Mytilus edulis: one gene and its partner. The protein of the gene in region 1 interacts with the protein of each later gene in a pairwise test. Links are inferred from orthologs where the notes say so. Each region holds a gene or a part of one and is shown in the gene's direction. Other genes may lie near its edges.

Evidence for each region. The genes of interacting proteins can lie anywhere in the genome.
Region 2: the proteins of PAN2-PAN3 deadenylation complex catalytic subunit PAN2-like (region 1) and PAN2-PAN3 deadenylation complex subunit pan3-like interact in binary tests that used the Drosophila melanogaster proteins (3 or more experiments, as listed by UniProt). The link is inferred for Mytilus edulis from reciprocal best matches to the Drosophila melanogaster genes PAN2 and PAN3.

Annotation. Positions count from the first base shown.
Region 1 is NC_092345.1:39,385,539-39,395,878, forward strand, and holds the start of PAN2-PAN3 deadenylation complex catalytic subunit PAN2-like, read left to right. Parts: upstream 1-5,267; 5' UTR 5,268-5,365; exon of another isoform or gene 5,366-5,745; intron 5,746-10,340. Other genes in the region: E3 ubiquitin-protein ligase E3D-like, read right to left, coding at 1,723-1,802. UniProt on the Drosophila melanogaster protein: Catalytic subunit of the poly(A)-nuclease (PAN) deadenylation complex, one of two cytoplasmic mRNA deadenylases involved in general and miRNA-mediated mRNA turnover.
Region 2 is NC_092351.1:26,581,434-26,592,532, forward strand, and holds the start of PAN2-PAN3 deadenylation complex subunit pan3-like, read left to right. Parts: upstream 1-6,527; 5' UTR 6,528-6,632; exon of another isoform or gene 6,633-6,640; intron 6,641-8,367; 5' UTR 8,368-8,381; coding exon 8,382-8,459; intron 8,460-9,109; coding exon 9,110-9,424; intron 9,425-9,883; coding exon 9,884-10,136; intron 10,137-10,555; coding exon 10,556-10,701; intron 10,702-11,099. UniProt on the Drosophila melanogaster protein: Regulatory subunit of the poly(A)-nuclease (PAN) deadenylation complex, one of two cytoplasmic mRNA deadenylases involved in general and miRNA-mediated mRNA turnover.

The DNA of each region.
Region 1 (10,340 bases):
TATAGTTGTTTAAATTTAAAGTAGGTCATAGCTTAGCCTTTCATTTTCAGATTATGAAAGGGTCTTCGGAACACCCAGAAAGCATGATTTTTCATCATTTGTTCTATAGCTTCTTGGGCCTTCAGTGGCTCCAAAACCCTTCAAAAAAAAAATTGTCATTCTCGGTTGATTTCAGGATTACGGAAATAAACGAAGAAATCGAAAGTTGTGATAAATTCTTAGGAAACAGCAATCGGCAAACTTCGGCAGATTCTGTTACCTAACTGTGCCGATTGAGTGATTGATGGATTAATGCGAGTCATCATTAATTCTATAGAAAAACACGTTGACGATGGAAATTTGTACCAAATTTATTGAATAAATGCCCCATTTTTATTGATTTATTTTTTCGGTAGAAATTGCACTATATGAAATATATATCGCAAGTTGTGATTATATAATAACTATACTGTTTACTCCATTGAGTGGCACACATTTCCTGCATATTTAAGACAATTGTAAATGATCGTTCTGATAAAATCAAAAGATCAAAGAGATTTTAAATAAATGTAGGGTAAGATCATTGGTTGGTATATACGAATGTTCAGCTGAACCCCGATGTGTTGAATTTTTTTTTAGTACTGCGACTCAAGTATTTGTATAGTAACATTGTACAAATTCTTGTGCAACTGTTCAATAATATTTACGGTAATTACCAGTATCATTTGGACGGTTTCATTTGGTCGGATAGTGATAACATATTTTAGGGGACAGAAATGTATTATATAAATATCTATACAACGTAGTTAGATCTCTGTTTTCTTCTGCTGTATTTTGTTGATTGGTACTTGCTCGATTAATTTTCGTATTGTAAACTGGAAATTTCTACTTTCCAGGATTATCCAGTAACTTAACCATATATATATTACTCTAAACTTCACAGTTTTAATATTAATCAAATATATTTATTGTTAACCGGCGGTAACCGGAACACACCTTAATCACGATTCAAACTTCACCCACAAACTAATAAAATAATGTCACTCACTATTTCAAATCGTTGTAGAATAATTAATTCTGGGCCGATTTTCATTTTTTATCCATCAATCGATTTGTTTAAATAAGTTGTTCTCAAATAAAGGTCTACCGACGCAATTGAAATAAGTAAAGGTGTTTTCCGACAGGTAATATTGTAAAGCTGTCTCGATTAAAACCATGTGATTGATAAGAAGTATCTCTGGTCAATTTATGACTGCGGCATGACTACAAAAGAAATTAACGACAGCGTACTAATTAGACAGTTTCCATATCTTTTCTACAGGGCTACCCCTGTACACGGGTTATAAATAAATGCTAATTAATCATTGTAGTTCCTGTCAATATAATACTTCCATGATCTATTTAAATGGTACATAATGACTTGACTATACTATATGTATTATTTATAAAAAACAAATCATTTAAAAAATTGTATGTTTTCGAATATCAAAAATATAGTTGTGAAAATGAATAATCAGTCCCTTGCTTTAATGAAAATGAAAAATCTTGCTTCAATAGTGCAGAACTTCAATAGTGCAGAAAATGAATAGTCTGTCCTCTTAGTTTACAAAAATAAATAACCGATCATAAACAAATCCTGCTGCACCCCCCCCCCCCCCCCCCCCCCCCCCCCCTGATTGTGCAAATACCTAAGATCTTTGCGCAATTGGTTTCTTTGTTGAATTAATGATATTTGATATATACCTGTTGTCAAAAACTGTTATATTCAAAGATGACAAAGTTTCTTTGATCTCGGAATATAGCAACGTTCTTGTTGCTTCCATTTCAAATCAGGAAAATGAAAGTAGAAAACGTGTTGTGTACGGGTCTCACTAATTAGCGACAACAAGCGTCAACAAGCGACAACAAGCGTCAAGAAGCGACAAGAAGCGACAACAAAAATTATTTTAGCGACAAGCGACAAGAAAACTATTTAGCGACAAGAAAACATTTTTTTTTTTATTAGATATAAAGAAATTTGTATGTAATGTTTTTTTTTTAAATATACGAGCAGATATGTCTAATTAAAATGTTTTATTATATAGATAAGATAAGATAACTTTATTAGCACTAACACATTGACAATAAATGGTTATGGCAACAAATTAAAGACTAACTACAATAACATATATACAATGAAGGAGTGACAGTGGATAATTATGAGAGAAATATATAAAAAATAAATGAGAAGCATATACATTATTACAAAAAACAAGTACCTTTTAATAATGAGTTTCTCACCATGCAACAAGCATTAATTCAAATAGTTGACAACAATTTTTAATATTGTTTGGGAATTACTATTTAGAATTGATATAAGCAGAGACATATAGCTTAGAGCCTTATGGTTACCTACAGTGGTTAATGTCTGTATCATTTGGTTTCTTGTGGAGAGTTCAATATTATATTGCATATACTGTACAGAAAAGAAATGTAATACACTCGCACATCAATATATTAAAAATATGCCATGAGATATTTTCCACTGGACGTTAGGCAACCATCATTTAATTCAGCCTGATCGTGCAGTTTGTATAAAGTAAAACAAAAAGGTTTTAACTTACAAATCAAGTCAAATAGTTGTAAACTATTTACACATGTGCATTTTCGTTTCAAAACTAAAAGGAGATTTTAACTAGTCCAAAAGTTAAAAAGAAAGAAAGAAGGGAAACATGTACATTTCGAAACATTTAGATATCAATGTGGCATTAAAACTGGTATGCTTTGAAGTCAACTTGCCATGTTAACAGAATTATAGCATAGTAGAATGTTTATTCTTACAAAAATTGTTACATGAAAAGGCAGCAATACCTGCTGCTGTGAGTTTTTATCGTATATTTAGCAGTTCCTTACACTTAAACTATGGTTTAATCTCTTTACATTCGAGTTGAAAAGTGAGACTTATATTGCCATTTCCTATTAAATGATCATTAAATGTAAATCCTAAATACACAATCCGTGAAAAGGAGAAACCATAAATTAACCGACAATCATAAAAAAAAAAAACTCAATACAAGCTCATAATGTAAATTTCGAAAAACACACTTAGAAAACAATTTACCGACAATCCCCAAAAAAACAACTCAATACATGCCCAATTAATAATGAACACAAAAAGTAATAATTTTTTAATGATCTATAAGAGTTATGAATATAAGACAAAGTTGATCATGATTAACGGTAAATAAAGAAACAAATTAAGTTTTTTTTTCTACTCATTGATTAATTTTATATTTTGTATTTTTGGAAAGATTGTGGACACCTGTGGTGTAACAACTTCTTGTGTACCAGGTGTCAATTAAAACTCTTTTAAACAGGTTGTGATTTACCTGACCATCGAATAATTCAAGCGTAATATACATGTCACACTGTGAAAGTATGTCTCTGACACAGGTGTATATTAAATAGAAACCCATTATGAAACTATCAAATAAAATGAACTCTGATACAATTTATTAAGTGTTAACTATTTAATATCGTTTTTTTTTTTAATTCAATATCAAGTTATGTCTATTTTTCAATAATACAAATAATACAAATCAAAATTAAAATGACATTGAAATAAATATTTATGCATGAACTCAAATTATTTAATTAATTATGTTAAATTTAACACTGAAACAGATAATTTATGCTTAAACATTCACCCTTACTTCGAGTACTTTTAATACTTTGATAAAGACTCTATTACCCAAAGAGATCTCGCGAGGTTTAAATGTGGCCGTGTGATATTACGGGATTTCGCCGAGTTGCCAATCTCTTGTATTATATGTCTCTGATATAAGCAAGTTATATGATATTAAAGGAAGAAAATTTGTTGTTCAATAGAACATTATTTAATTTTTTAATAAGGTTATCTCTCACATATTTATAGGAGGAACATTTTAAAAGAAAGTGAAGTTCATCTTCAATGTCTCCATTGTTACAGATAGACGAAGAAATGAAACATTTGTGAGAAAGAAAGAGATTGTGAAGTTTATATTAGTATATTGGTAGATGAAGAAATTTAACATTTGTGAAAAAGAAAGAGATTGAGCTTCTTTTTTTTAATTTTTAAATATGAAGAATATGTATAAGATAATGTATGAATCTGTTTTCATCAAAGTCAAAGTATGAATAATCGAATGGAGATATATATGGAGCGGGCATAATGGAATATAATATTTTGATTCATTTGCTTAATACTATGCTCTAAGTGTACTCTTGTTATGTCAATTCGATGCTTTATTTGTAAAACTCTCAGCCACGCTTTGCCATCTTTATTATTTAAGCGTGTTTCCAGAGCCCACGACGAGGACGTGGTTCTACCTTGGGGTCCATATACAGATCACGTACTTTTGCGGAAAAAAACCCCCAAAAAAAAGGTCAACTTTCCTTTGAAGGATTTATTGAAACAAAAACATGAAATATTATTTCCTTTCTAACAGTATAATTCATCGTTCTTGATAGGAACAACATTAGTTGTGGCTTCACCTTAAGGTAATAACAGTACACACAATGTGGAACATCAAATGAGATTAACGAGTCGCGTGTCCCCTGTTTTATTGCTACAATAACATCCAATTATCACCTTCAACTTTGTACACACGTCAGACTATACAATTACACGCGCCAGACTATACAATCATTGTAAATAGGGAACACCTGTTGAAAACTCAAGATTGTCATTAATTTCCTTTCATCTTCAATCAATATGCATAAACATGATAAATATCGTTTAATGAGGCAATAAACAAATAAAAAGATGAAAACATTCACATTTCAATTTTCTTTTCCTCCTGTTTGGTTTCAGTTCTTTGTATTTCACAATTTGTGTCAATATTTTCAGGACAATGATGCACAAGTAATTCATTTTGCGAGCTTAATACATATTGCACGAAAAGAGTTTTAAAATACAAATTATAAGATAAATAATATGTTCTAAAACACAAGGAAAAGTAATCTCATAATACAATAATTAAACGTAATACTGGCTGTTATTCATAATAGATGATAAAATATTATGTAAATAATGTTTCATTTTTTTCTATCAATTTTAACTTTCTTGTCGCTAAAATTATTTTCTTTTGCATATTCTTTTAATATTTATTGCAATAATTAATTTTAATTAAAAAAAATGTTTTCTTGTCGCTAAATAACAGCTAAATAGTTTCTTGTCGCTGTTTGTCGCTAAAATAATTCGCTTCTTGTCGCTTGTTGACGCTTGTTGTCGCTAAAATTCTTGTTGTCGCTAATTAGTGAGACCGTAAGCGTACTGTTATCTCCCCTCTTAAAACTCTTCAGAATAAATTAAGACTGGTTCCTTGTTTTTAAATTTTTCTCACACAGAAGTTTGACCGCTCGAAATGTGAGTGACAAATATTTGAACAGATTAATGTCTTAATAAATTAATGATAACATTTACAACAAAATACCAATTATTTATACTTTCACTATACTTAATGCATGGGAGATAATATATTAAGTATACTTTTACCTGCATTTTGGCTTTAGCGCGCATGTGACTAACCAGACAATAAACTATTGGAAACCAGTAGATCTGACTTTTTACGTATCAACTATCAGGTATTTATTCGTATGTCACAGTTGTATGAAAGTATAAGAATGGAAAGTTTAATTGATGCACTTTGAAACCAGTCTCTTTTTCTCCGCTGAATTAACTTAGACCGTAACATTCAAATCGCACTGTCGTCCAGATTTTTGGTACTGATTTTTTTTGAAGAAAAGGTTACAAGACACGTGTTTTTGTTGACTCACGTTTATTATTTCTGCAAAACCTAAATAAATTCTGTAACTAAGAACATCGAGAGTGGTAGGCTTTATTATAGACAATAGACAATATTTTATTCGCACAAACACATTTACATTAAATGGTTATGGCATACAAAATTAAGACAATAAACTGACTCTTATATGTAATGCATTATGCACATCAACATTTATAAAAACCCTGACTCAATATTTGTGGAATTTACTGTTTCAGAAATTATTATCTAAAGACGTAAAACCAAAGGAGTATAAATATAAATAGGCAGTGGCTATTTGACCGGCACCGGCAAAATAGCAAATTTGCTATTTAGCCGGCTCTGATTAAATTATATCTAACTGGAATTAAAATTTAAGAATAATAATTAAATATCAAAATTTTCTATTTAAAAACTTTTGTTAATGTTGCTCATATAAACACTTAAAACACTTAAACTTCTTATCTAAAAATAAATTAAAAAGTAAAATACAAATATGATAATAGTCACTTTGTAGCTATACTACATTCCGGAAACTAGTACATGTATACTCTTTTCATTTACGGAACCAGCATTGTGATTGTGTTGACGATGCAATCGCAAAATGGTCTTTCAGTACCATGAGAAGACTTGAGAAATACAATTATAATCAAGCGATTATCGGGCTTGGTCTTTAAACAAAAACCGTGAAAAAATAAAAATTTCATCAGACACATTTTTTTCAGTATAAGAAGGAAATGATTTTTAGAATTATATTTGAAAATGAAAAGGTGAAAAAAAGTCTAAAACAAAGAGAAAGTAATTGTATTTATTTATGTATTTTCTCATTTTGAAAAATAACATGTTAGTTGCACAGACGCTGCTCCTTATTATCCAATCTAGCTCAACCCAATACACATTAGAAGTTTGTTTTTCTCTAATTACTTTTTTTCTTCAAATTATTATATGATTTTTATGAGGTCATGTTAAGTTCCAGGAAATTGCGAGAACGCAGAATTTTTCACTATTAATACCAGAGCTTCCAGGGACCTTGAGGGGCCCCAAGACCCCTCGCCATATGACTTACCCCCGGCTTTAAGTACACATCATTTTGGCCTAGCTACACCCCTAGCTGTTTAGAGCATATATAAAAAGGAGAAAAAGAACCCTATCTACATATGTAACATATGCACACAAGATGTAGATTCAAAGGAAGCCAGTGTAATGTGTAGTTCCTGTTTTGAGTGGCAACATGTACATTTATCTTGTGCTAGACTAAACAACTTCCAAAGGCAAAGAATTGGTTTTGTAACAATTGCAAATGTTAAATCATGTGTCCATTTGAAATTCATAGCAAACAACTATTAATATTGTCTGTCATATCTGTTTTACAGTCTGCACGGTTAGCCACTAGTCTGATGCCCCAGACTGGTAAAATTTCTTTCAGACTAGTAAGTTTTTTCAAAACTTTGTTTGGACTAATAAGAAAAATGTCAGAATATTATTCTTCGCACTAGTAGTTGAAAAAGTTTTTGGTGCAGACTGGTTTTATGATGTAGTTTTGCATAACACTATTTTTATCACTGGCAGAATATTTAAACCATAGATTTTAAACAGATTTAAATTTGAAAATCAACATTTTGTTATAAATATTTAAAAAAAAATATATTTAATAATGTATTTACAAATGTGTTTTCATGCTTTTAATTAATATAATAAAGTTATAAATTATTTATTTATGAAAATCTTTTATTTTTTATTGTACTGTATTTTCTTTTAGTTTTCGCACTCTAACTTTAGTAAAAGTGAATAGAAATCGATGAAATTTTGACACAAGGTTTATGACCACAAAAGGAAGGTTGGGATTGATTTTGGGAGTTTTGGTCCCAACATTTTAGGAATTAGGGGCCAAAAAGGGCCCAAATACGCATTTTCTTGGTTTTCGCACTATAACTTTAGTTTATGTAAATAGAAATCTATGAAATTTTGACACAAGGTTTATGACCACAAAAGAAAGGTTGGGATTGATTTTGGGAGTTTTGGTTCCTACAGTTTAGGAGTTGGGGGCCAAAAAAGGGCCCAAATAAGCATTATTCTTGGTTTTCGTTCAATAACTTTAGTATAAGTTAATAGAAATCAATGAAATTAACACAAGGTTTATGAACACAAAAGGAAGGTTGGGATTGATTTTGGGAGTTTTGGTCCCAACAGTTTAGGAATTAGGGGCCAAAAAGGGGCCCAAATAAGCATTATTTTTGGTTTTTGCACCATAACTTTAGTATACGTAAATAGAAATCTATGAAATTTAAACACAAGATTTATGACCATAAAAGGAAGGTTGGGATTGATTTTGGGAGGTTTGGTCCCAACAGTTAAGGAATAAGGGGCCCAAAGGGTCCAAAATTGAACTTTGTTTGATTTCATCAAAAATTGAATAATTGGGGTTCTTTGATATGCCGAATCTAACTGTGTATGTAGATTCTTAATTTTTGATCCCGTTTTCAAATTTTTCTACATGTACATTAACATGATTAAGGTCCAAATGGTCCAAAATTAAACTAAGTTTGATTTTAACAAAAATTGAATCCTTGGGGTTCTTTGATATGCTGAATGTAAAAATATACTAAGATTTTTGATTATTGGCCCAGTTTTCAAGTTGGTCCAAATTGGGGTCCAAAATTAAACTTTGTTTGATTTCATCAAAAATTGAATAATTGAGGTTCTTTGATATGCCAAATCTAACTTTGTATGTAGAGTCTTAATTTTTGGTCCCGTTTTCAAATTGGTCTACATTAAAGTCCAAAGGGTCCAAAATTAAACTAAGTTTGATTTTAACAAAAATTGAATTCTTGGGCTTTTTTGATATGCTGAATCTAAACATATACTTAGATTTTTGATTATGGGCCCAGTTTTCAAGTTGGTTCAAATCAGGATCCAAAATTATTATATTAAGTATTCAGCAATAGCAAGAAATCTTCAATTGCACAGTATTGTGCAATAGCAAGCAATTTTCAATTGCACAGTATTGCGCAATAGCAAGAAATCTTCAATTGCACAGTATTGTGCAATAGCAAATATTTTCAATTGCACAGTATTACGCAATAGCAAGAAATATCTAATTGCACAATATTGTGCAATAGCAAGAAATTTTCAATTGGAGTTATCTTTCTTTGTTCAGAATAGTAGTTGGATCAACTTAAATCATTGTTTTATGCAATATACAATGTATATTCACTTTTACTACCAACTGATAAATTAAAACAATCTTTACCATTCAGTGATAACAAGCACTTTATTTTACATTTTAATATTTTATGATGTAAATGTATTTAAAAGAGTAGTTATTGTTGCAAACTCCATTAGAAATTTGAATTGATATCAGTTTTGGAAAAAGGGAAACAGGGATGTGAGAAAAAAAAATGGGGGGGGGGTTAAATTTTTCTCATTTCAGATTTTATAAATAAAAAGAAAATTTCTTCAAACATTTTTTGAGAGGATTAATATTCAACAGCATAGTGAATTGCTCAAAGGCAAAAAATTTTTTTTTAAGTTCATTAGACCACATTCATTCTGTGTCAGAAACCTATGCTGTGTCAACTATTTAATTTTAGATTTAAATAAGTTTGAAGAAGAAATCTTTAATTGATTTGTAAAATCTTGACATTTGTTTTGTGTAAAAAAAAAACCATGTTATGTCAAAAATTTGATCACAATCCAAATTCAGAGCTGTATCACACTTGAATGTTTTGTCCATATTTGCCCCAACTGTTCAGGGTTCGACCTCTGCGGTCGTATAAAGCTGCGCCCTGCAGAGCACCTGGTCTTAAGTTTATTTGCATGATTTTATAGTTATTATATCGGTAAGAAAAAATGAACATGTAGCTAGAAGACCAGGATTTATTTACTTGTGTAACTGGGAAGGATTTTTAATGATTGTTGACTTCTCCAATTTAAAATTATGCTCAAAGAAGGACCTTTTATGTTGGGATTAACACTCCAAATGAGGGGTAACCCCTCAATGTAAGGATAATAAAAAAACACTTTTAAGGAGGCCGGAGGGTATAAAAAATCAGCAGAAATTGAAACATTTGATTTTTGATTTGAATGTACGGTAACTGTGTATTTGGTTGTTTTTGTCCATTTTACAATTGGTCCAAATTTTGGTCATAAGGCTTTAAATTTGTTTAGTTTGATTTAATAAACATTTAATAAAATTTAAAAGATAATAATTACAATGTTATATTTCAATTACCTCCCTTACATTGGTTTTAAATTATGTAAAGTTGTCAGCTAGTTCTAGTATGAATTATTTTTTAGCTGTTTCTAGAAACATCAAATACAGTTTTTCTGTAATGGAAGTAAATATACTGAGCAAAAAAAGTTGAATAACAAAACTATGAAATTTGTTTATTACAAAAACTTCACAACAAAATGGAATTAAAACTATATTTGCCATTGAAAGCCATTGCGGAGGGTCAAAATGTGGAAATGGGTAAAGAGTTATTAAAAGTCAATATCTCGTCCATGCTCCACGTGCATCAATGACGGATTGGCAGCATTTTCGCATTCCATGAGTATCTTTTGAATTTGTCATTGTGG
Region 2 (11,099 bases), on another chromosome or scaffold:
CAACTAGGTATAATATGGCCAATAGGAATCTAGGTCACTGTTTTGTCAAAAATCCATAAAAAACGGACATTTAGGCAGACCTGACTTGACAATAATAATTCCCCAGCAAGATACTCAAGTCCAATATACTCCAAGCTAGCATGAATGGGCTGCTGTAACTATAGGTAATACTTGAATGACAAAGAAACACAGTCTTGTCAGTGTTCACCTCTCAAGGTTGTTTTAATCGGAAAATAGATGGAAAATTACCATTTTTTAGTGGGGGTGGGTTCAAACCCACGAGAAAATATTCCACCTCCGACCCCACCCCCACCCATGCCATCAGCCCCCAAATCCCAATATATAGTTTGATAAATGAGCGTCAGTTACAGCATCAAGAGTCTGCTAATTTGCATATAATTTGCATATGATTGCAAATTTTCGAAAATGCCGGATTTTCCAGAAATGTCTTGGGGCGAATGAGTTAAACTAAAAATATTTTTTCCCGATTTTCAACCTCTAAAGAGTGTTTTGGTCAGTTTTACACCCTAAAAAGACCCTCAATCCCAACAGAAGCCAAATTTAAAAATTTTGATCAAATCATTTAATGAACAACCCCACTTACTGATTCTGTTGTTTAATGCAAAGCTTTTCTCTATCAAATTTTATCAGGAACACTCTAACCTTAAAATAAAAAATATAAAACACATTTTGCCGGTTGAATCTGGAACCTATGTATTGGTGGGTTCTGCAACATGATAAAGAATGTATCAAAACATGCAGTTAAACATGTAAGCACTGAGCACAGGACCTTTGACAACAGATAAAGCTCACCTTATCAACAGAACCACTGCAAGACCTATGACTTGTATAATATTAAAGTTGTCCATTGCTTCTACCACATACTGAATGCCACAGGTGTAACATGTTTCAAATATATAAATTGAGTGATTCGTTTTACAGTTGGAAAATTTTATAGATGCTGGGGCCAGCTGAAGGATGCCTCCGGGTGCGGGAATTTCTCGCTACATTGAAGACCTGTTGGTGACCCTCTGCTGTTGTTTTTTATTTGGTCGGGTTGTTGTCTCTTTGACACATTCCCCATTTCCATTCTCAATTTTATATAACTTTTTTTGGTAAAGGAGTTGATGAAAGGATAAGGAATTGCTTATGTTGCAAAGATTCCAATAATAGCAGTTTTTTCATCAGCTCCTTTTCAAACCACCAAATCCAATTGTTGGACCCAAAAAATTTACTTTGAATGATTTTGGGTAATATTTTGCTTGAATGCAGGTCCTTATGTATTTCTCATCACATTGGCATTCATTTTTTTTTTAACTTTGAGCGATCCTGATCTGTTGTCAAAGATCCTGTAGTTGGTTTGTTGGTCAGGTGAACTATATTTGTTGTCAAAAGTCATGTATTGGTTCTGTTGGTCAGGTGAGCTATATTTGTTGTCAAAGGTCTTGTAGTTGTTTTGTTAGTCAGGTGAACTTTATCTTTTGTCAAATGTCTTGTTGTGGTTCTTTTGATCAGGTGAGCTATATTTGTTGTCAAAGGTCTTGTAATGATTCTCTTGGTCAGGTGAGATATTTTTGATGTCAAAGGTCCATTAGTGGTTCTGTTGTTAAGGTGAGCTATGTTTGTTTTTTGAAGGTCCTGTAGTGGTTCTGTTGGCCAGGTGAGCTATATCTGTTGTCAAAGGTCTTGTAGTGGTTCTGTTGTTCGGTTTAGCTACATCTGTATAGTCAAAGGTCTTGTAATGGTTCTGTTAGTCAGGTGAGCTATATCTGTTGTCAAGGGTCCTGTAGTGGTTCTGTTGGTCAGGTGAGCTATGTGTTCTCAAAGGCCCTGTAGTGGCTTTGACAGTCAGGGGAGATATTTTTGTTGATGAAGGTCCTGTAGTGGTTCTGTTGGTCAGATGACCTATGTGTTGTCAAAGGCCCTGTAGTTGTTTTGTTAGTCAGGCGAACTTTATCAGTTGTCAAATGTCTTGTTTTGGTTCTCTTGTTCAGGTGAGCTATATCTGTTGTCAAAGGTCTGGTAATGGTTCTGTTCTTCAGGTGAGCTTTTTTGTTGTCGACGGTCTTGTTGTGGTTCTCTTATTTAGGTGAGCTATATCTGTTGTCAAAGTTCCTGTAGTGGCTTTGCCAGTCAGGTGAGCTATATGTGTTGTCAAAGGTTCTGTTGTAGTATGTTGGTCAGGTGAGTGCTGTTTGTTGTCAAAGGTCATGTAGTAGCTCTGCTAGTCAGATGAGCTATATGTAGTTGGCATTCAGTACGTGGTAGAAGCAATGGACAACTTTAATATTATACTAAATAACCATCGTTCATGGTACAAAACTATCAAAAACTTTCCCCTTACTAGACATATTCGCTCAAAGAATCACCCTTTAGATAATGTTACTTTCCAAATAATTGAAGTGAACATTGAGTGGGACATCACTGCGAGAAGGACACTTTTGGATCCACCAGTTCCGTACTGTAAAACCTCACCTGATGAGATTAATGAAAAAGAGGAGAAAAGATAAAGAATGATTAAAAATACTGCATCAAACTTTATCTATAATATTGGCCAATGGACATGCAAACCACACATTTCAAATAAAATAAATAATCTTGAAATTTATCAAAACTTTGATATACATGGCAGCAACGTCCATGTGCAAAAGTTTCTTGTCTGCATTCGATTTCACCTTTATATATGCACGCTCGATGAAGCTAATATGTCTAGCGGAATATTGCAAAAAAAAATATTATCGCATCGTAAACATTTTTAGCATTTTAATACTTACAGCGTTTTGAAAAATAAAAATTAGTCAAATATGTTAATATAGTGAATTAAAGGACTTAAAAAGCATTTTGTGGATGCAGAATTCAATTTTACGTATTCAATTATTGTACATATGTGTCTCTCAGAATTCATTTGGATTAGGACCGATTTTCAATTTCGTTATTCAGCGTTCCATTGTTTCATCACAATACATTTCAAGTAACTCAATTATGTGTCAACTATATATTTGTATTATAAAATCATTGTAAGGTGTAAATGGGTTTACAGGCTTCATCTGTCCTTGAAATAAAATAAAACACGTACATTAGTCACTGACATGATCAATGTGCTTTCCTGTTGTTTTTTATTTGTTTTTATATATTTTGAAAACGAAGGGATTTTAAATATTATCAAAAGTTTATGACTATCTAAAGTAAGCACAAAAATCATTAAAAGTACCCTTTTTATATGAAAACGAAAAAGAAAAAGAAATGTGGAGTGTTTGCGAGACAGCATACGACTAAAATAACATAACGGCACCTAGAGGGCAATATATACAGGGCTCAAAAATAGGCATGTATCTATCAAACTAAAGATGTCAAGATTTTTGTCGTTCCGAGAGTTCATAAAGTTGAATGAAGGGTGGTTTTGAACAATATAGGCAGAGTAGTTGATAAGGGTTCTATTCAGTGTCACAAATCAAAACCATGGTTTCAAGCTTAAGATAAAAAGTGTTTTAAGTTGATGATTATACACGTCGAAAGTGAAATAGAACTATGCTTCTCGATCTCTTCATTAAAAGTGTTGACATTTACAGAATAAATGATCACAAAGAGAAAGTTGACAAAATCGTCCTGATTGCAACCTCATTTAGGTACATAATGTATAATTAGAGTAGGGTTTTACAAACTATATATTCAAGTCAGATAATTTTTTTTTTATTACAAACATTATGTCAACAGATTTTTTTTGTCGGAGTATGATTCAGGTCCGAAAAAAAAACAATGAAAGTTGAACAGTTTTTATAAAATTTTAATGAATCATAATTTGTCCTATTTTTTACGTAATGAAAACAGCACTGATTCGTAATTCGAAAAATTTCAACAAAAAGAGCGATATATTTCATATCTATAGTCATTGTTTAATATATGATTCATAATGATTATTCTCAATAAATCTGTATTTCAAATTTTAGCACAAGAAAAGAAACAACGATCAACAAACGGACAAGATGAGGCTGACTTGGTACAGGAACATATATATTAGATATACTGTTCCCAGCTTGGTACAGTTACAAAACACGTGATGGGGTTAGAACCTCCCAAAGTTTACGGGTTTTGGAACTTACACTTTGTCCGCTTTGTCAATAAAGGTTCCGCGTTTACTATTCCCAAAATAGCTATGACATAGGTGGAAATCAAAATGCATGGTTATTGACATTCCTGCAAAATGATCGATCTATAAACAAAATAAACGCTTTTCTATCATCTAGTTTTAAAATACTAATTTAAATACGTATTAGTGCAAGTTAAAGAAGAAGAAAAAACGTATGTAAAAATAAGGAGATGTGTTATGATTGTCAATGAGACAAATACCCACAAAAGTCCAAATGAAGTGGTGTAAGCAATCATAGTCGAGCGTATACTGTCTTCAGCAATGAGAAAATCCCATACTGTATTCATGACTGACTTGTCTGCTATAAAAGGTTCGGATATAAATGACTAATCTCAGTTTATCAGACGATCTAAAGTGGAACATCCTTGTATAGGGAAAATTACTAGCAAACGGTAAACTGTACTGTGGTTTGTTCATTGGTGAAGGCCGTACGGTGACCTATAGTTTTTAATGTCTGTGTCATTTGGTCTCTTGTGGAGAGTTGTCTCATTGGCAATCATATCACATCTTCTTTTTTTTATATGTACTATAGGTTTCCTGAAAAGAAACATACGCCGGCAATACCTCCAGGAGTGCAAAATATATAGCCTATTTTTAACCGCATCACTTGCTGTATGATCCTGTCGAAGGACAGAAGCCTGTAATTCAGTGGCTGTCATTTGCATATACTAGTAGCTGTGATATCATATTTATTTTGGGATTATTATAAAAACAAGCAGAACTCTCCACCAGAGACCAAATGACTTAAATAAAAGTTAAGTACTATAGGTCATCGTACAGCCTTCAACCATGAGCAAAACCCATACTGCATAGTCAGCTACAAACGGCATCCAAACTGAAAATTCAAAACAATCAAAGGAGAAAACTAACGGCCTGGTCAGTCTAATTAAAATATAGAACTCTGTACAGAACAATGAACGAAAAACAAATATGATATACAGCAACAAACAACAACCAGGGACAGGCACATACAAAAAGTGGCGGGTCAAACATGTTTGCTGGCACCCAACCCTCCACCACTCAGTGATGACAAAACACAACAAATGAAGAAACTATTAAAGTCCTTTGAAAAGGGCTTAACTCATCAGATAAATACAAAGTAGAAAAACAAGTAACAAAGAGCGGACGTGGCAGGATACAACAAAAAAGCACTAAGTATATAGATCTGAAAGTGCAAAGCCAATAACAAACTATTAAAAAAAATCATTTATCAAAGACTAATTATCAATCAGCTCACATCCAACATCCAATGGTTTTAGTGTAAAAACGTCATAAACAGCCAGACAAAAAAACATGACCTTGTTCAAAATTTATCTATCGACAGATTGTATACGGACCCGCCACTGCTTTGCTCGAAAATTGTCAATAATATCACATTCCTCTTATTGGAATATGGTGGTGTTTTTGGAACCCATCTTTAATTTAAATGGAGGTCGCCAATGTGATTATCGTAACGTAATGATTTTCTTGCGACGGCAAATATATCGGATTTTACCCAAATTCAGTTGCTTCGAAAAAGGTGAAAAACATATTGTATGAGCAAAAAATTGATGTGTAATTAAAGTTCAGACGTTTATCTTTCTAAATATATAAATATATGTGTATTGCATCAGTGAAATATCGAGTACCAAAAGCGTACAGAAAAGAGGTGCATGCAAGCGTAAGTTGATATTTCTACTAAAGCTGGCACAGAAAAAAAAATAAAACTTGGCAGTGATTTTTCTCAAAGTCGGAAAATTTTACGTTAATTCGTAATTTAAACTTTTCAAATCTCGAAATTTAGACTTTCTTAAATCTTGGAATATCGCCTTTTTTCCGATTTCTCACTTTCTCGATTTCCCGATTAATCGATTTATCGATTCCCCGATTTCTCGCATTCTCGATTGATCGATTTCCCAATTTCTAGATTTAGCGTGAGAGTGAAAGGAAATGAACAGTCGAATTTTTTTTTTAAATATAAAGAGGAAATTTTGAGAAAAGTAAAAAAATCTAGTATAAAAAGTCAAAATTTTGAATTTGAAGTCAAAATTTCAAGATTGAAGAAAGTCAAAATATTAAGTTGAAAATTTCGAGATTTAAAAATAACAAAATTTTAAGTTGAAAATTTCGAGATTTAAAAATAACAAAATTACAATGTGGAAAAAAAAATTCCCTGCCAATTTTATTCAGTTAACTTTTACTATGTACTTTATTGCGCTTCCGTAAATTGAGTGTATTACATAGATACCAAATACAGAACTTTTAAAGAAAAAAAATCCTCTTTGTTAGAGGACGTTAGAGATAACTGTTATATAAATATCCCGATCTGAAGCCTTTTCTCGATTGGCAAGTTGTATCAAGAAATATGAAGCGTTTTGATGACAAATCAACAAAAACATTACTCAGACAAAGATGTGACCCAATTAAATGCACATGCGTACTCAACAAATTGTCAGAAAATCGAGAACCTGTTCAAATGAGGGAAAAGACATCCAAATAATTTAATGTAACTCGGTAAAAATGCATCAATCGTAAATAAGTAAATGAGATCTGGGAAAAGGGATATCTTCTCTAGTTTCTAGTGGAGAAAAAAATGCACATTGTCGCTTATTTTTGCAGACAGGCACTTGTAATTTAGGCGACGACTGTCAATTTCTCCACCATAAACCAGGTGTTGGGTTTCAAAAACAGTTCATAAACGGTTCTTTAGAAGACAAACAAGGTGCGATCTAAGGCATCCCTGACACTATTCATAAACTAGAGTAACATACCATGTTAGGAATACGCAATTAATCGAGATTTACTGTTAAAATTTCTTGGATTTAAAATTTTATATTTTAATGTCCAAATAATGTTCTAAAGCTGCCTTTGTTTATTTCATTTTATTTTATGCATAGACACAAATCATTATTGTTACCTTATGATAATACAGTACTACATTTGTAGTTACCATGTTTTAAAGTATGACATTTTCTGTGCTGGTTGAAAATTTAAACTTTTTGCATGGTCATTAAATAGGCCACTTCATGGTTATTGCAGCCATATTGTAAAGAGTTCAGAATTTTTTTTGGTACATGTGATATAACAAGGAGTATGGGAAAACTCATTCATGTTTCCAAGCGACTATTCCTTTTCAGTGATGAAAAAAATAAGAACATAATATTCTAAATAAAGACTCTAATGTTTGGGATAACAAGTATTAAGATAGAAAATTTATTTGAGAAAAAAATGTCAAAGGGAGATGTAATTTATTGATTCAGCCTTGCTGGAGTGATGATCGGGATAATTCAGATCTGGTTCAGAATTCTAAGTTGAAGACATATGATAAAAATTATGTGTTTATATGACTTGCAGAAACTTTATACCTCATTTTAATAATCAACTGCCAACTTATGATATGTTATTTGTCCTTCAATTTAGAAAAGGTTTGGCAAACAACTTATTTAATTTAGATATATACAATTGCATATAGTTCCTTTGTAAATCAGAATTTATATTACATGTATTAGATTGCCATTTGATATGAAAAAGTGATTTATCAAGTACAAGCAGTTGAGAAGGAATATATGAAAGTGTTTTATCTGTATCTTATATCTTATGTTAGTCATTGAAATTTGAATAAAATATAACCAGAGTTGATTTGTTTTTTTTGAAATTATTTTAAATATGTTTAGTTTTTAAATTGTTTCTCTAGTATGTGCCTTCTTGTAATCTTCAACATATCGAAGTTAAGAAGTATTGTGTAGATGTAGGTGGATTCCCACACTTCTTTGAACAATGTTGAAATAATTTTACTCCCTTTGTTTCATTAGACAAATAAGAGTATTGATACAATACCAGTCATGCCAGTATGGTTTTCAAGTGTCATGATTTACAAACAATTAAACTCAAAGGTGTAAATATTAATTGAAATCAACTCCATTCTAATGCAATTTTAATTGACCAGTTTATATGTCATGACAGTTGATAATTATACTGGATATAACACATCTAACTGAATACACAAAATCTTAACCTGAATAGTGTACCTATTATTTATTTTGATCAACACACTGAAACACTACATAAATTATTCTGTTAATGTAGTGTGAAAGTTGACTGATTAATGAGCATGATGAGGTATGTGGGTTTAAAAAAAAAAAGAAGACTAAAAACAAAATATTTATAAAAATGCCCCCAGATTTATTTCACTTGTACAGTTACATTGATCAGTAATCTATGATGCTTTGATTATTTTGTAGCATTACCAGACTCAATGGGCAGTAATGGAGATCAGTATTTTAATGCTACATTTAGTAGTGAACCACCTGTCCCAGACTTCCAGCCATTTAATGTAGGTATTTTGTTACATTGTGTCTGTTAAATATGGCTTTTATATGAATAAGACAACAAAAAAGCTTGTCAGTTAAAGTTTACAAATGCAAAAAACACGATAAACATCAGAAATTTATGTTCATAGATAGTTGATGGGATATTGTTAACTAGCCCAAAATGAAAAAAGACTAAAAAAGTACACTCATATATAATTGATAAGTTTTTAGTACACATGGATATTGATGTGGTTTTGAAACAATGCCAGAGTAATGATTGTATTGTTTTATCTTTTACTTATACAAAGACAGTTGTTCTAACATCCTTAGAAAGTCTGTTTCTCCTGGGGAGAATCTAATTTTTCACACACCAGTTTCATATTAATGTTAGAATGTTAAGCATCACAAAATGACTACATGAAATATGAACTTATGGGTAATGTCACTTGACAATTTCATTTCAGCAAGTTGAGGCTGGTCAAAATAGGAAAGTGGCTAAATATTCTCTCAATTCTGTTTACAAGATTCCATCTGCTTTGTTTTTTGGTAGAAAGAATTGACATATCTCCAAAAATCCTGCTTGTAAAGACACTTTTTTCAACCTCTATGTTTGAACTTCACAGTTTAGGTGTCTGGCTGAATCCTTTGAATTATTTTTTTAACCATTTTTCAGCGGCAAAGAGGAATGGCAAGAGGACAAAGAAATATGATGGGCCCAGGCCCAATGCCAGGGCCACCTGGTCCACCAGGGCCAGGACCTAGGAATTTTGGTCCACCTGGCCATGGAATGAGACCAAGGATGGACATGCCTAGAATGGATGTTCCTCCAGATCTAAGGGATGGGCCACTACCTGGTCAGATGTATAGTGAAGGTTATGGATCTAGGATTGATAGTCCAAAGTTTGATGGTCTAGGATCAAGAATAGACCAGGGATTAACAAATGATTTTGCAGCTCTCAATCTGCAAATTCCTGGTAGTGGTTTAAAGGTATATTTTATGGCAGATTTCATATATGCTGCATGCTATATTTTTGTTTTTAACAATGGAAGTTCTCAAATGATTTTAATTGGAAAGTAGTATGAACAAAATAAGTTTTTTTAATGATTAGGTTTCTAATTTGTAAATACAAAAACATTTAAATTTAGATTTCAGAAATGCATTTCATTACATTTATTCATTCAGAAAGACATAAACTATTTCTTCTTCTCTATAACAAGCAGTTTTATAATAATCATAAATAATAACACATAAGTTAGATGGCCATGACATTAATAGATATCCTAATTTTGAATAAGCTGAACTTGATACTGTCACATCATTAATACATAAATCTTGAATAACGGTGAAATTATTTCCAGTCACTATTTATTTATGAAAAAAAATGTTAAAATATGAGTTACAAATTTGTATGCATAATATTGATACAGGAAATTGTTTCTATTTTAGGGGTCAAACCCAGGTGCAGATGAATTTGTACCAAAGTCTGCAACATTAACTCATAGTGCTAGTTCTCCTAATTTCTCATCGTTCAACAATGGACCAGTGGGTATGCCACCCATGTCTAATGCTGGACCTCATATGATGGATAATGGTCACATGGGAAATTCCGTGCCTGGAGGTGATATTCCAATGCCTGTTGGAGGACCTATGATGTCCAACACACCTCCACCTGCTCATTTAATGCCATCGGGCATGTCCGGTAAACATTTTAAAAGTTTGTTTTGACCTTAAAAGAGACTGTTTAGTGATTCTTGGAATGCAATTCATGATCATTGTACTTCATTACAAGTTCAGGACGATCTTACTAATTATTTTGAAATATTTTTTTTTTCATTTAAAAAAATAATAATATAAATAAGAAGATCTGGTATGAGTGCTAATTAGACAACTTTCCATCCAAGTCGCGATGTATAAAAAGTTAACGATTACAGGTCAAAATAAGGCCTACAACATAGAGCCTTGGCTCACACCAAGTATAAGTTGATATGGCAGAACTTTAATAGTCTGCTTTATGTATTCAGTATTTTCAAATTTCATCTTTCCAAAATCTTTGATTATTCTGTAACATGATTGAAACTAATATGATTTTTCAAAGATAAATTGTTTGTATATTTTCAGGAGCTGTTTATTCTACAGCCAGTCCTAACAATAGTCCTCATCTGTCTCCAACAAACTCTCCTCTTATGATGAGAAGAACTGGTTCCCCATTAGCTCCCATTAAACCAGGAACACCAAAGAAAAACCAACCAGCCAGCACCATTCAGGTAATGTATACACTTCATTCAGAAATTTTTCATACACTTATTATTGCGATTTTTTAACAATGGTAAAAAAAAATTGTTTAGTTTTGCACTTTCAGTTAATGTTGCATTGAATATTTTTTATCAAAATTTAGTTTTTATAGTTGTGTAATCCTCATGATCCCACTGCCAATTTTCGCAATAGTTAAAACGTCACTAAAATTTCTAATGTTACTGAATATAATTAGTGAATTCAAGCTTGTTAAAATTGAACCTGTCCTCTACAAAAAAAGTTCTCTAAAGAGAACATTGTTTACACATAAATATTATTCAATAGTAATTGAAACATGTTTAAACTTAAACAGAAGACCTGTCTAATCTGAATAAAATATTCTGTCACACATGGATTCTATTTAAACAGT